Linked DNA regions of Rhinolophus ferrumequinum. The protein of the gene in region 2 binds, or shares a complex with, the protein of the main gene of each other region. Links are inferred from orthologs where the notes say so. Each region holds a gene or a part of one and is shown on either strand. Other genes may lie near its edges.

The links.
Region 1: the proteins of KLHL3 (region 2) and WNK3 are in contact, whole or in part, in a crystal structure (PDB 5NKP), measured with the Homo sapiens proteins. The link is inferred for Rhinolophus ferrumequinum from reciprocal best matches to the Homo sapiens genes KLHL3 and WNK3. Residues at the interface, in NP_059111.2 of Homo sapiens: Lys312, Arg339, Phe355, Gly357, Arg360, Thr386, Phe402, Gly404, Ser405, Gly407, Ser432, Ser433, Tyr449, Gly451, Arg454, Cys456, Ser481, His498, Arg528, Tyr577; in NP_065973.2 of Homo sapiens: Glu537, Cys538, Glu539, Glu540, Thr541, Glu542, Val543, Asp544, Gln545, His546.

What each region holds. Positions count from the first base shown.
Region 1 is NC_046284.1:81,495,895-81,503,109, forward strand, and holds the start of WNK3 (serine/threonine-protein kinase WNK3), read left to right. Parts: upstream 1-4,195; 5' UTR 4,196-4,591; intron 4,592-4,793; exon of another isoform or gene 4,794-4,897; intron 4,898-7,215.
Region 2 is NC_046307.1:12,975,328-12,983,211, forward strand, and holds the start of KLHL3 (kelch-like protein 3), read right to left. Parts: upstream 3,017-7,884; 5' UTR 2,973-3,016; intron 2,851-2,972; exon of another isoform or gene 2,738-2,850; intron 2,676-2,737; exon of another isoform or gene 2,492-2,675; 5' UTR 2,439-2,491; coding exon 2,383-2,438; intron 1-2,382. UniProt on the Homo sapiens protein: Substrate-specific adapter of a BCR (BTB-CUL3-RBX1) E3 ubiquitin ligase complex that acts as a regulator of ion transport in the distal nephron.

The sequences.
Region 1 (7,215 bases), on a different chromosome or scaffold from region 2:
CTGTCAGTCTCTCTGGCTTTTGTGTTCCAAAAGAGAAAGCCCTAGAGAAGGGGGATTAGGGTGCAGGGGCAGAGACGAAGTATCTGGGCCAGAAAAGTAAAAGGAAGAAAGATTTGCACAAGCTTATAAAAAGATTCTTCTCTTTCTCACTCCTCTCTTCTTGGGGAGAAGAGGCAGAGGGAGCTCTGTGGGAGCTCAAGCAGCATACACTCCCAGAAGCAACCTTTGGTTGGTAGGAAGAGTCAAGAGAGGACGGGCTGTGTGGAATGTCTAGGCAGATGGACCAACAGGTGACCTTGGCAATGAGTTCTGTGTCCTAAGTGTGGCAGAGCTGTTGGAGAGGACCACAGCACTTGAAAGAACCCAGGTGGTTCGAGGGCTCATCAATAACTGACAAGATCTAAGGATATGCAAGTAGATACATTTATTCCACCCCCATGACTGGCCACTACATAAGATCACCAAACTATGGCATCACCTGGGATAGGAAAATGAAAGTCAAGAATAATTTATATTGTTTCCCCAATAACCTGGTAAAAGGAGGGATCAGGGTCAAAAACTGAGTTCCAGAAATGGGTACAACTCTACCCATGGCTGTGGTAGTCAGCTGACTCTCAACTTTGAGGTTCATTTTGGTTCCATTTTCATTGAAGGAGTTACCATCCTGTGTAGTCCGGAGAAGATGAACAGCTAGCAAGGCCATGAAACTAACCCCCACCCCCATTCCTGTGGGATGCTAGGGTCTAAAAATGGATCTAGTGAAGGCTTTTGTAATTTCTTGGCACCAGAGCCTTCAGATAAGATTAACTAGATTATTGGAAGAATGTTTTCCTGAAATAATGTAAAGCCAAATTACAAGTGGTTAATGTAAGTCGAATTTTTTTTTTTTAACATTTTATTGGGGAAGGGGAACAGGACTTTATTGGGGAACAGTGTGCACTTCCAGGACTTTTTCCCAAGTCAAGTTGTTGTACTTTCAATCTTAGTTGTGGAGGGTGCCGTTCAGCTTCAAGTTGTTGTCCTTTCAATCTTAGTTGTGTCGGGCACAGCTCAGCTCCAGTTCCAGTTGTTAGTTGCAGGGGGTGCAGCCCACCATCCCCTGCGGGAGTCGAACCAGCAACCTTGTGGTTGAGAGGACACACTGCAACAAACTGAGCCATCCAGGAGCTCAGCGGCAGCTCAGCTCAAGGTGCCGTGTTCAATCTTAGTTGCAGGGGGCGCTGCCCACCATCCCTTGCGGGACTCGAGGAATCGAACCGGCAACCTTGTGGTTGAGAGCCCACTGGCCCATGTGGGAATCGAACCGGCAGCCTTCGGAGTTAGGAGCATGGAGCTCCAACCGCCTGAGCCACCAGGCTGGCCCGTAAGTCGAATTTTTTATTTGATGAATAGAAACAGCATACAAATGCCACTTGACAGTGGAAACCATTAGGTAAGAAGGGAATGTTCTCTGCTGTTCGTTGTTGACTAGCTACAAGTATAATTGCCCACTCCCCTTTCTGCCCATAGTGACATTTGTGTTGAGTTGTAGACAGGTTGTTTCAAACAGAAGAGCACATATGTCAATAAAAGGCCTAAATTGAGAAGGGCGTGTACTTGGATGGGGAGCAGACTTATTTGATTTTCTAATTTCTGAAGTTTATAAAAGTCACACTACTTTGTAGTTATTTAACAAATGTTTGACTGTCAAAGAGGTACTCAAAGAGGAGTTCACATCTGAGCAGGTTGAGGGGCTAATGTTTCTAAATATTGTTCTGCATTGATTACATCATCAAGCTCAGAGACAAAGGAAGAGGAGCACGTCACAATTGCAGGAGGTATCTGTTGCTTTTTCTAAAGGTGGATGTATCATGTTTTCCCGAAAATAAGACCTAGCTGGACAATCAGCTCTAATGTGTCTTTTGGAGCAAAAATTAATGTAAGACCTGGTATATATTATATTACATTATATTATATAATATTATGTTAAAGACCCGGTCTTATATTATAGTAAAACAAGGCTGGGTCTTATATTAATTTTTGCTCCAAAAGATGCATTAGAGCTGATTGTCCCTCTAGATCTTATGTTTGGAGAAACACGGTATGTGGTGGTAGTGGGAGTAGGGTGACATTGAGAAATAAAAATAGTGGGTACAAGTTTCTAGTTACCATCTCAGTGGTAGTCAGGACCTACAAAGACTTGGAATGATTTGGTAGCCTTTGACACTGTCCTTGGGTGGTTATTTGGCTATGCTTCCCATTTTCCCCATGGTAGTCAATAATTCAACAGGGAAAAGGAAGTATCTTCAGAGGCAGTGGGGAAAGAAGGATTTGGGGAGATCCCATCCATTCTACAGCTAATTTGGAATGCAGAGACCTCTAAAGTAGAGTGGTAGGACTATTTGGAGAAACCATACCTTGGTCCTCCAAATTTAGCCAGGAAGGAAGATCTTCACCGGTGGAATAGCTGGACCCTATAACTCTGAATTTCATTGCCTCAGAGTTTCCCCCCATTGTCAAAATTTGGAGATGAGGGTTTGAATTTATTAAGGGCAAGGTCTGGTTCACTTGCATGTCTGGCAATACTGGGATTCAACAGCGACTTCCAAGAGGAAAGATGCAGAGACAAGAAACAGGGCCACCATTCCACTTGATTTGGACTATGGAAAGTTAAATTTAGTGATTGGTTTTTAAAGAGCTGAAAAGACTGAGGTTCTGAGGCCTACAGTAAGAAAAGAAAAAAAACGTGTTGGAGAGAGGAGAGATTGACCGAACTCAGTGATAGGGCCTGGAAGCTGGGCAGTTGAACATGTTAGCCTGGCATTTTCCAGCCTCCTACTCTCAAGTCATCCTGCTAAGTCTTGTGGGGCATTGGGAAAGAAATCCTGCCCTTAAGGAGCTTTCATTCAGGGGCTGTGACACCAGATGCACCCTGGGCGATTGAAACATGCTTGGGCTCAGGAGTGAGCACACCTGGGTTCAAGTTCTGACTCCTTGATACATAGTTATGTGAACTTGAGCAAATCATGTCTATTTTCCCCTCCTGACCCTCAGTTTCCTCTTCTGTGGAGCCAGGATTGTTCATGTGAGAATGACAGAAACAATTCTGTATTGCGCCTGACACAGGGCAGGAAGCAGTTCTTAAACAAAGCTGCTACGCCGAGGTTAACATGCAGTGAAAGCTCCAAGGAGGTAGCATTTATACCAACTAGAGGATCTGGAAGGTGGATGGTAGGAGATGGTGAGAGCCAGCCTCAGGGGGAGGTGGCCTTTCCGCATGCGCGCATTCTAGGAGCCCTGCGGAGCAGTGACGGGGCGGGGCCAGGTTTCTGAAGGGGTTGCTATGGCACCGAGGGGCCAGGGGAGGTTAACCAAACCCTTAAAACCTTACTCCCTCCCCCACCCGCCACCGTCTGGGCCGAGGGCCATTGTTCCCGGCAAAATGGCGTCGCTAATACCCCTCCCGGCAGGAGGTCTAAGTAAGGCTGAGGGTGGGAGTGGAACTGGAGGTGGGAACAAAAACTACAATTCCCAGGGTACACTGCACCTGCCCGCGAGGCGCAGGGCACGTGCCTAGGCCTAGTGGTTACAAGCCGTCAAAAATCCGTTTCATAGCTTCCCTTTCCCATCCCCGCTGTCGTTGTTGCCCAGCCCCCGCGCGCGCGCACTGCGGTCCTGGGGGGTGGGGGGGGACATACCGTGGCCGTTGCCCTCGCAACGTAACTGGGGGACCCGTATTTGTAAATCTGTGCTTCGACTTCTAATCCCAAAACCAGCAGGTATGGGTCTCGCGAGAAAAGTCAGGGATTGCAAAAAGGTAGTTTAGGGGTGGCGGGTGAAAAGGTGACGGCGGGTACCACATCTCGGCAGAGCTACCGCATTTAGAGGCATGTGGAAAACTGAGAATGGGCGGGGGGTGGCTAGGAAGTAGTGTGTGCTTGGACTTTTTTTTTTCTGAAAAGGGTAAAGCAGCTGTGGAGAGAGCTTTTGAACACACAGAAGGTGTCACGCGTGGCTCCTCACTGAGATTTTTCTTCTTGGAAAGGAGAGAAGCCTTTCTCCTCGAAGCGCATCCCTCTCTCCCGCTGCGCTGAAGAGGGCGGAGGAGGAGCGCGCACGCTCCAGTTGGCTAGCCACTGGGCCCCTCGCAGCGCTGGGGGCCGTTCTGAGTTGGGGCTGCTCTGTCAGCTTTCTCCGCCCCTCCCCCTCTCCTTTCCTCCCCTCCCTTCCCCGTCCCCCTCCGCCCCTCTCTTCTCTCCATCTGAATTCCCTGGCTGGAGTACGCGTGCGCCTGCTTAGCTCCCAGGCGAGCGCGAGCTTGGGCTCGTACCCCGCTCCCCCAACCCCGCCCGCTCTTTACCTACCCGCGGTAGCTGGCCCGGTGGGCTCGCGGGGAGACGCTCGCGCGCGCACGCGCACACGACACGGAGCAGAGCTCCAGACATTCAGGAGGAGAGTAAGAAGCATCCGAGAAGGCGATAGAGGAGGAGGAGGTGTGTGTGTATGTGTGTGTTCTACGGTGTCGCTCGTCGAGGGGCGACCCGAGGCTTGAAAGAAGGCGAAGGAGAAGCGAAAAGAGTCAGAGTCTCCCTCTGCGAGAGCCCCTAATCTGGTGAGGGTCCCGGGCCAGCCGGGGCACTAGGAGAGAGGGAGGAGGCCGGGGGGCGTGTCTGGGATCAGGCTGCGAGATGAATGGGCCGGGGATGAATGGAGGGAGGCAGCGGCGGCCAAGAGTCTGTTAGAGGAGTAAGCGCCCTAGTGGGGGGCGGTTTGACCGAGGCGGGGTGATTGCAGTCACCAAGAGGTATGGGACGATGGGACGAGGCCGGGCTCCAGTCTTCGGGGTTGTCGGAGCTGTTGTCGGTGCGAGCGAACGGGCAGAGAGGAAAATTCAGAGGGGAGAAGTGGGGAAGGGCAGGTTTGAGGATGAGGTGCATTTTTTGTCTTTTTTTGTTTTTGTTGGGGGGTGGCAACTTTGGGAGTTGATGGAAGACTAGGGGACGGGGAAGGTGCGGAGAATACTTGAGGGGGGCGGGAGACAGTTGACAAAGGACTGAGTGATCATTTAAGTGAGATTGAGGCTACTGAAAGGAAAGATCGCTTCGGGTGTGGGAAGTTGAGTTTCAGTGGGTATTGGGGTGGGGGAAAGTAGATTTAATTGAGAGATTCAATTGCTGTGTGAAGGTCGGTAGGACTGGATCCGGGTGAAGAATAGTGCTGGCTGGTTGTGTCCATGGGTTATGTTCAAGGAGATTGAGAGGTGTTACTTGGGACGAGTGGTGTGTTCTGTGGCCGACAGGTTGGGAATGGGGAGGAGATTACCATCTGTATGATGGGGTTAGGATAAAAGTGGTGAGCTGGCTTCACTGTACTGAAAGAGGTTTTGTTTGACTAGTTAAGAGTGGTGAAACATTTATGTAGTGGGGTGTGGGTGGAAATCCTGCACGTGTGTGTCTCATGTCTTGGAAGTTGATAGATCTTGTTAAAATCGAACCCTCAAAACGTGGGAATGGTATGGCTATTCCTTCATAAGACTTACTGTTGACTCAAGCAATTATATGAATAATAGCCTTTAAAGTTGTGCAGATCTTCTGTACAGTAGTGATTGCATCCAATTTTGTGAGGCATTGTTACCTGTTTTTCATCTATAGTAAATTGTAATGCTAAGAGAACTTTTGAAGAGGTTTCAATATATGACACAGAGTAGCAGGTTTCTTCTAGACAGTCTCTACCCTTTGGATTGATGAGTGTAAAAATTGTTTAGACTTAACAGTCCAAAAAAAAGTTACTTCGCATTAAAGGATAGCTAAAATGCACAAAAGCTGATTTTGAATGCTAAAATAATTATACATATTTTTTTTGTCATAATGAATTTACCTTGTTTGAAAATTGGCGCTTGCATTTTGGTATGTTTCCAGCAGATTAAGATTACTTGGACATTCTGTTTTTTAAATACATTACTTATCATTTGGTAAGGATGTCTTGTGATAGTCTCATTGTGTTCTGAATCAAGATTAATAGTATATGGATTTTTTTAACTTTATCGACATATATTCATTTATCTTGGAAATGTTGCAAATTTGAGAACATTCTTATTCCCTTTTCCTTTTATTCTGCTTTGATGTTGGAAAGAATGTAATCCTTGTTTTGGCTACCCAGAGTTTAAATACAAAAGTTAATACTATGTTCATATTCTCTTAGATTAAGATGAATACTTAGTGTATTAAGTGGTAGAGTAGAAGTATGAAAGCACTGTGGGAGCCTGGAAAAAAGTTGCACTGACTCTGGCAGGCAAGGTAGTCTCCCAGTTTTGAACTAGGTGTTCCTGGACTGGAAGAACATTCAAGTATTGAGGCTGGAAAGTTTAAGCATGGTATATTTGGGGAGTGGAATGAGATAAGGCTGGAATCTTAGATTGAGGCTGGGGTGAAGGGCTACCCTGCAGAGTTAGCAGCCCTTAACTGTTTATTAAGAAGAGGAATAACTTAAGCAGATTTGTGTTCATCTCACCGCCTTTACTTCTGATGCACCCCCATCCCCCAACCTGGAATGCTCTCTTGCCTCCTCCCTTTGAATTTGAACTCATTCTTTTTAGATTAATCTCTGCCATTAGCTATTCTTGAAAGCCTTTCCTGTTTTCCTCTTTTTTCCTTTCCCCAGCATCCTACACCAAGCTACGTTAGGTGCCCCTGTTTCGTGGTCCCAATACACCTTGTACGTATTTTTACTATCATACTTCTGTTGGGAGGCAGGCAGGAAAGTTATTTTCGTTTTTATACCTAGAACAGAAAGTAAAGCTTAGAAAAATAAGACTCGCCCTAGAAGTCGTAGACCCCTTGTTAAGGTCTATGCTAACGGTCTCTTACACCCTGAAGTTCCTACTTCTAGACCAATGCTGATCCTCACATCACAAGTCGACACTCGTTGAAGTAATTATTCTGTAGTGTTTTAGGAGTTAGATTTCTGTAATGTGAACTTCAACTTTCTTCTGTAGAGGGATTTCTTTTCATTACAGTGTCGCATCATTTAGCCAGTAAATGATAAAGCCAGTGGTTGCAATGAACCAGTCTCAAGTAAAGAAAATGATAACTGTTATATTGCTGTCGGATTGCTAATCAGGTAATTTACTTTAAAAATAATTAACGGAAGGCCTAAATTTTTGCGTATATGTATGGGGAGCGGGGTTGTGTGCAAGAAAACCCCTTCCTTTCTCAGTCTCCCATCTTGGTATAAGTA
Region 2 (7,884 bases):
GTGCTGAGATAATAAGGCCGATATCCAAGGATGAACCCATTGGCCAAAGGCTTCAATCTTCTCTCTCACCAACTTTCTTTTTAGTTATCAGAGCTTCTCGCAGAAGTTATCAGCTAATCAGCAAATAGTTATCCAGCACCTACTGCGCGTGCAGTCACACAGTAGGCAACGAGGAGTATTCAGAGGTACAGGTATCGTCCTTGAGGACCTATCTCCAAGTTTGGGGACTTATACGATATATGAAACAAAAGCACAAAAAGACTTTGTGGGTGGGCCTATTATTCAGTATCCAACTATGAGATACAAACTAGAGGTATTGAAATTCATATGAACACCAGCCAGGACTAGAAAAGCTGAGATTTCTTGGATAAAGAATTTTAAAACTTGATAGATGGATAACTTTTTGGAAAAGAGGAAGGAAAAGGCATTGCAGGAAAAAGGAACTCTGGAAGATAAGGATCTGAGGCTGGATGGAGTTGAATACGGGATGGGTGACCACAAGAGACCAGTAGACCCCTTGGTGGGGTATGGGTGAGCCTATGAGAGGGACTGGAGACTAGAGGCAGACTTCAGAAGAAGACGAATGCCTGGCACAGTAAGCTGGCCTTGGAGTGGAAACAAAATGCAGTAAGCTGAATGACCTGGTGAATGTGGGAAGTTGCTCAGTTTGGATTTCTTGCCTAGTCTCTGTCTCCAAAAGGGAAAAGCAAAAGAACGTGTGCAAAAATCAGGTGTTATAAAGCCAAAGACATCAGCCATCCCAGCTGAGTCACCAGAGCACTAAAGAACGAGACGGCTTCTTGAGGGCAAGGACTCATTACATTTCTGAACACAGTACTGGGAACACATTTGGGGCCCAAAATGCGTGGGAAGCAGTCCTTGGAACTGCTGCTGCTGCTGGTCTCACATGGATCTTGTAGCCCTGCTATAACGTGGGTCAAGAAGACAGGCCTGGTCCAGAATCTCTAAACCTCCATTCACATCACCCGTGCCCTTCTGCTAGCTACCAGGCCAATAGGAGAAGGTGAAGACACTGCCCACGTCTGCCCCAAGCCTAGGAAACAGGCCACATGGAGTCCAACACAGCTCCTGCTACAAAGAGCACCCAGGGAGAGGATAGACCAGCAGCACACTCAGTCTGAAAAGTCCCAGACTCTGCCTGTGGGAGTCACATCAAGAAACACAGTCCCTGGGGCCCCAAAAATCATACCAGTTCTAATGGGATCTAGAGATCTTTAATGACGTCATTCTGCAGCATGAGATGCAAGAGTTGGGAGAATCCACGCAAAGGCAAGTGTTTACTGAGGTTCTCTCTAGACAGTGTTGATTTAGTTAAACCTGTTATCATGTAACCAGCCGGTTACCATCTGCATCAGACTGGCAGCTCAGAGCAGCCGCCCTCCTCCCACTGGAGGCTTCCATGGCCTGACCCCTCCCTGCTCTCTTCTCACCTCAAGGAAAATGGCAAGCCTTGTTCTTTCCCAGCCGCAGATCCACAGAATGAAGAGGCTGGCCCAACATGAGGAGATGTTTTAACACAAAGAGGGAGGAATGACCTGCCCTTGCACTGCACTGAGCACCTTCACAATGAAAGCAGCAGATCCTCAGATAACAGTTTAAAATTGACATGCATGTGCCTGCCAGGAAACAAACCCTTGCTAGTAAGATCCAGCTCAACAAAAGTACTTAAATTCCCTTCTGTTGATTCCTATTTCATAAGAAACCCCTGGTAGAAGAAGCAAGAGTTCCTCTCAAGCACATACCTTCCAGTAACATTTATAAACTTTTCAATGCAAATGGAAATCAGTTCAAAGCAAGTATCATCTGACAGGTTTCTCTCCTTCTTACTTGAACTTGTGCGTGTATATAGGAACACGCACGCACACACACGTACACACGCACACACGCACACACTTTTAGGAAAGACATCAGCATGGCATGATTGCTGAAGATTTGAGCAATTCAATGTGAAAACGCAATCACTCTATGCCAGGCCAGCCCTGCTATGACATCAAAAAACCCCCCACCAAAGAAAAAACACCCCGGGAAAGTAGCCAGGAAAGGGAAACGCCTCCTTGAAACAGCCTGAGAAAGGCAATCCTGATTCAGCCCGTGCTGAAACTATTACCAAACACCAGCCAGGAAGTCCCTTCTTTCAGGGTGCTCCGCTGCCCAGCAAACCCAGACCTGCCTTTGCGGAAGCTAGGTCTCTGGAGAAAGGGGCTTCCCGGCTCTACTCTGCTGCCCACGGGGATCCAGCAGTGGCCAGGTCTTCGGACCCTGCCTAGCCAACGCAAACACAAAAGCTGGTGGCTGCCCCGAGAGCACACATTTACTTACACACATACTCACACACAACACAACACACACATACATACATACCTTTCACCCTCCATTGTGCGAGGCCCAGCGGGGGTGGCAGCTGCTGAACTGTGCATGCACCCAGGGATCCTAGCTCTGTTCTCAGTCTGGCAGCCAACCAGCGGGAGACCTGATCAGCAACAGTGATTCAGCATGGCTGCAAATGAAGCCTCCTCCCTCTCGATCCTCCTTCCTCTGACTTACTAGCGGCAGCTTCTACCGCAGAAGCAGCAGCAGCAGAAAATGTCTTACCCAGAGCTCCCTGCAGCCCTTTCAGCTGCTAAAAGCAGCAACCCACTTGCTCCCCCTCCCCCGCAGGCTGGCTGCTCCGTCTCCTAGGAACAGCGCAGCTCCCGCAACCCCAGTGCACTGCCACCTTTCCAGCTGCCTCCACATCTGCGCAGGCATCCCCGGTCCAGGCGACTGGCCCACCCCAGGGGCTCCCGTCTCCTCTGCCTAGACTGCAAAGGCTCTGGCAGCTCCTCACTAGCCCAGGAAACATTGGCCCCCACCTCCTGCCCTGCCCCCACAGGCCACGAATGAGTCTGTCAGCCCCGCCGGATTGCTGGAATGAGGAGGCCCCTCTGTGGCTTGCAGAGGAGTTTATCCACCTGGGGAAATTGACTTGTAGGTCACCGCTCACGGTCCAATTCCTCCTCCCAAAATCCGCAGTAGCTCTGAGAATCTGATAGAGAGAGGGGGAGTTAGGGGGAAAGAGCCTGATTAAACTGAGAAAAATGCAGAGAGAAATTAGAAAAGGGGGGAAACTGGTAAAAATAGGTGCAATTGAAACAAACCCGATTTTATGGCACAAGACCAAAGACGATTGCCGTAAAGCCATCACAGTAAATACTGCAGGCATTTATCTCCCTCCGACGTACTGAAAGACCACCAATGCCATAGCACAAACCTAAAATACCTTCCTGAAGTCTGTCCTGTTGAAATTTGACTTAAGCTGTGTCTCTAACTAGTTAGTCTCCCACTGATTCCCCCATTTCCAGCTGAAGATCTCTCACACCCTGTGATCTCCAGCTGCCGAGACTCCATTTGGACTAACTGAACTCTCATACCTAATCTTGGGAAAGCCAAGAGGCCAGTCTGTCTCCTCGCCACAGCCAAGAGGCTTAGCGGCCATTGAGGCAATCAGCACTGATGGTTGGTTAGCCACAAAAATGGGTTTGGGGGTTTCCCTGATGCCTCAGAAAATCATCCGTGAGCACCTCCAGGCTGGGACCCTCCAGGAAACACCTGCGCTTATCAGGATCCACGCGGGCTACCACGAGCTATCTGAGTGACTTTCGGCAAGTCTTTTCCTTGCTCTGGACCTCAGTTCTTCATCCACAAGACAGGGTCCAACCAGAAACCTCTAGAGTCCCCTTCAGCTCTAAAATAACATGATTCTAAAAATGTCTTCAATGCTCCATTTTTCTTCTCATTAATCTGTAAGGTTGTTTAAGAAGAAAATTTTACTGGACTCTAGATTTTTGTGGGGGGGCTTCAGGTAGGATGACATGACACATATTGAAGTACAAGAGATGCTCAGTACATCTACTATTGTTATAATTTTGACCTGTTAAAGTTTCTTCACTGCTATAAACCCCTAAAACCAAGTGGGGAAGGAGGGACACTGACGTTAATAGAAAGTTAAACTTTTTATCACCTTTCTATAACCAGCAGAACTCAAACTGGCGAGGGTGTCATTCTCAAAGATTATCTCCCTACATCGCAGTGTCCTCTTAGATGCAGCCATTGCCCAAATTCACTCTTTCTCAAGTGAGAAGAGGCCTGGGTGATTTTCTTTACCGCTCGCCACCCCCCCACCCAAGTCCTGTGTTTACACTTCTTCCTTTCACAACAATACTCCTCATGTCTTTGCCCTCTCTGTCCCCTTCCTCCTCTAATCAGCCTGTGGCTCTACTCCAGATATTTCCTCTTGAGGTGAATCACAGCAACCAGAAGCTGAACATCACAAATAAGGAAACCGAATCCCAGAATATGTGCCAGAGTACAGGCACCCACCAGGAAGACAACTGGGTGATTCATAGAAGGGACATAATTAGATGAGTCTCTTTCACAACTTCATACCCTCATTCACAACTCCACCATACAAGAAAAGGGGGAAATGTCACATCTAACAAACAAGAAAAAAGAAAGAAAAAAAAAGGCCAGGAAAGGAAATACTTAAGGGCTGAGCATATTCAGGTTTTAATACACAGCCATTAAGAGCCAGTTTAAAATTTCACAGAATTTCCTTTGCAACCTGCTTTTGCCCTCACTACAATGTATGTGTTGGAACCACACCGCCACCACCTGCACACTTTATTCACCACTCAAACCACAAGAGGTATACAGAACAGAGACAACTCAGAGAAGAGCACCAAGATGGCCATCTAATAAAATCAGGGTCAGAGCTAAGCCAAGAATCAAAGTCTCCAGACTCTTGGCACAAAGCTCCCATCCTAATCTTCTCTAGTTTCAGAGCTACGGTTTACATTTTCTACCTTATTATCCAAATGTTCTCTGGGTCACAGCCTGAACCTGTTGACTCTAGGCTAACTGTCCTAAATGGATTTCAGATTAAGAAGAGTTGCCACTAGATTCTTGCAGTAGAGGGAAGCCAAAGGAACCCAGGTCAGTAGTGTCTGCTTGGAGGAAGAGGTCCTATCGTTGGGATGCCTAGCAATAGTGCCTTACCCCCTTCCTGCCCTCCTCCCCCTTCCCAGGGTCCCTCCCGCAGCTTACCAATAGTACCCAGGGGCCCCACCACTCCATCCCAAAGCAACATACCCAGCCATCCACATCAACTTTGTTCAGAATCCTTCAGGTCTATGTGGCTCAGGAAGACACCATAGTAGGGGAAGAAACTTTGCTGTTGTTTGTTTTTTTAAGTGGATTTGGTCTAGAAAGTTCTCCTCTCCACCCTCCCTCTCTCCACAAGTAGCTAGTACAACATAGCTTATCTAGAAACAGGCCAATCATTCTTCCTTTTCAGTGTCTTTTTCCTTCTTCTCTTGCTTTTATCCTCCTCCTCCTCCTCCAGGACTTCAGTTCCTCATATTTGCAGGCACCATAACGCAGCAGAGTGGTCCTACACCTGGCTGTGCAACAGAACCTTCTGCCCAGCTGATAACTACTGCAGGCATCAGGGGATCAAAAGGCACAAGAAACTCTTTAGGGTTATGGAAATGTTTCATATCTTGACTGTGGTGATACACAATTATATACAACTACTACATTTCATCAAACTAGACACTTCAAGTGGGTGAATTTTATTTTATGTAAATTATACCTCACTAAATCGGGGGAAATAAATGCACTACAGGACCATATTCCACCTCACACCTATGGAGTTAAGGCCCAAGGAGCAAGAATTTGAATGAACTTCACAGGTGACTCTAAAGCACGACTAAATGCAAAGATCACTTAGGACAATGAAAAGATCTATTAGAATCAGGCAGACCAAGGTCCAAAACATGACTCCAGGGAAGTTACTTTACAAGTCTCAATTTTCTCATCTGTATAAAGGAGATAATAATAATACCTACCTTCCCAGGGCTGTTAGGTTTCAATGTGAAAGTATATAAAGCACTTAGCAGAGAGCCTGGCCTGTAATAAGCACTCAGTAACCATTAGCAGCTACTATTTGCATTGCCTATGCCAATGCTACCAAACTATAGCTCTGTGAGTCCTTGATTCTCAGGTAAACAAGAAAGTCAACCAGAGTAACTTGTGCCAGGAGGGCCTCCCCTGAAGCCATTTCCACATCTCCAGCAGTCACTATTACCAACAGGTCACCCAGGACTAGGCAAAACCAGAGCTGAATTAAGTAAGGCCCACCCACATCTGTATCACCAAAACTTCCCCTCAGATTCTGGACCACTCTCCCTAGAGCTGCTTAGTAGACTCGCCCTATAGCTGCTTAGAATGCCCCCAGGCCAGGAAGCCAGGCAGAAACTGAACATGAACTTGAGGCTCAAAAGTCAAACAGTACACAGACTAGCACCTTATCCAGAGTAATGTCTGGCTTCCCTCAGGACTCCTCCTCTGAGGGTGGAAGGACCCATGCCCTGAGGAGATTCAAGGGAATAATCAATCACCCATGGTATTTGTGTTGTGTTTCAAAGCGTACAAAGTGCTTCACGTCCCTCATCTTTAAGACAATACAATACCCCTTCAACTGCAATAACAGCTCCGGTCCCTTTTCTACGTGCTCTGGGCCAGGCTCTGTACTCAAGACTTGACTCGTACCCATCTTCTTTCATCCTCACAACAACCCTGTGAGAAGGGACTATTATTTGTTTTAAATGTGAGGTATATGAAAATGCCACAGATTTTTACATATTTCTTTTGTATTGTGCAACTTTACTGGATTCTTTTACTAGTTCTAACAGGTTTTTTATGAAGTCTTTAGGGTCTACGTATAATATCACATCATCTGTAAACAGTGATAGTTTAACTTCTTCCTTTCAAACTTGGGTATCTTCTATTTCTTTTTCTTGCTCTGGCTAGGACTTCCAATATTATGTTGAATAAAGTAAAAAGAGTGGCAACTTTGTCTTGTTCCTGATCTTAGAGGAAAGGCTTTCTTTCAGCTTTTCATCGTTGACTATGATGTTACCCTGTTTCCCCAAAAATAAGACCTAGCCGGACCATCAGCTCTAATGCGTCTTTTGGAGCAAAAATTAATATAAGACCCGGTCTTATTTCACTATAATATAACACTGGGTCTTTAATGTAATATAATATATAATATAATATAATATAATATAATATAATATAATATAATATAATATAATATAATATAATACCGGGTCTTATATTAATAGACCCTGATGGTCTGGCTAGGTCTTATTTTCGGGGAAACACGGTAGCTGTAGGCTTGACATATATGGGTTTTATTATGTTGAAGTACATTCCCTCTATATGCACTTTGTTGAGAGTTTTTATCATGAATGTTGAATTTTGTCAAATGCTTTTTCTGCATCTACTGATTGAGATGATGCTATGATTTTCATCCTTCATTTTGTCAATGTGATGTATCACGTTGATTGATTTGCATATGTTGAACCATCCTGCTTCCCAGGGATAAATCCCACTTGTTCACAGTGAATGACTCTTTTAATGTGATGCTGAATTTGGTTTGCTAGTATTTAGTTGAGGATTTTAGTTGTTCATCAGGGAAATTGGCCTGTAATTTTCTTTTCTTGTGGTGTCCTTCTCTGGTATTGGTATCATTGGTATATTGGCATCATAAAATGAGTTTGGAAGAGTTCCGTCCTCTTGTTAGAACTAATAAATAAAGTTGCAAAATATAAAATCAATATGCAAAAATCTGTTGTGTTTCCATACACTAACAACAAACTATCAGAAAGAGAAATAAAAGTATCATATTTAAAATTGCATTAAAAATAAAATACTTAGAAATGAATTTAACCAAGGAGGTGCAAGACCTATATATTGAAAACTATAAGACATTAATGGAAAAAAATAATAAAGACACAAATAAATGGAAAGATATTCCAT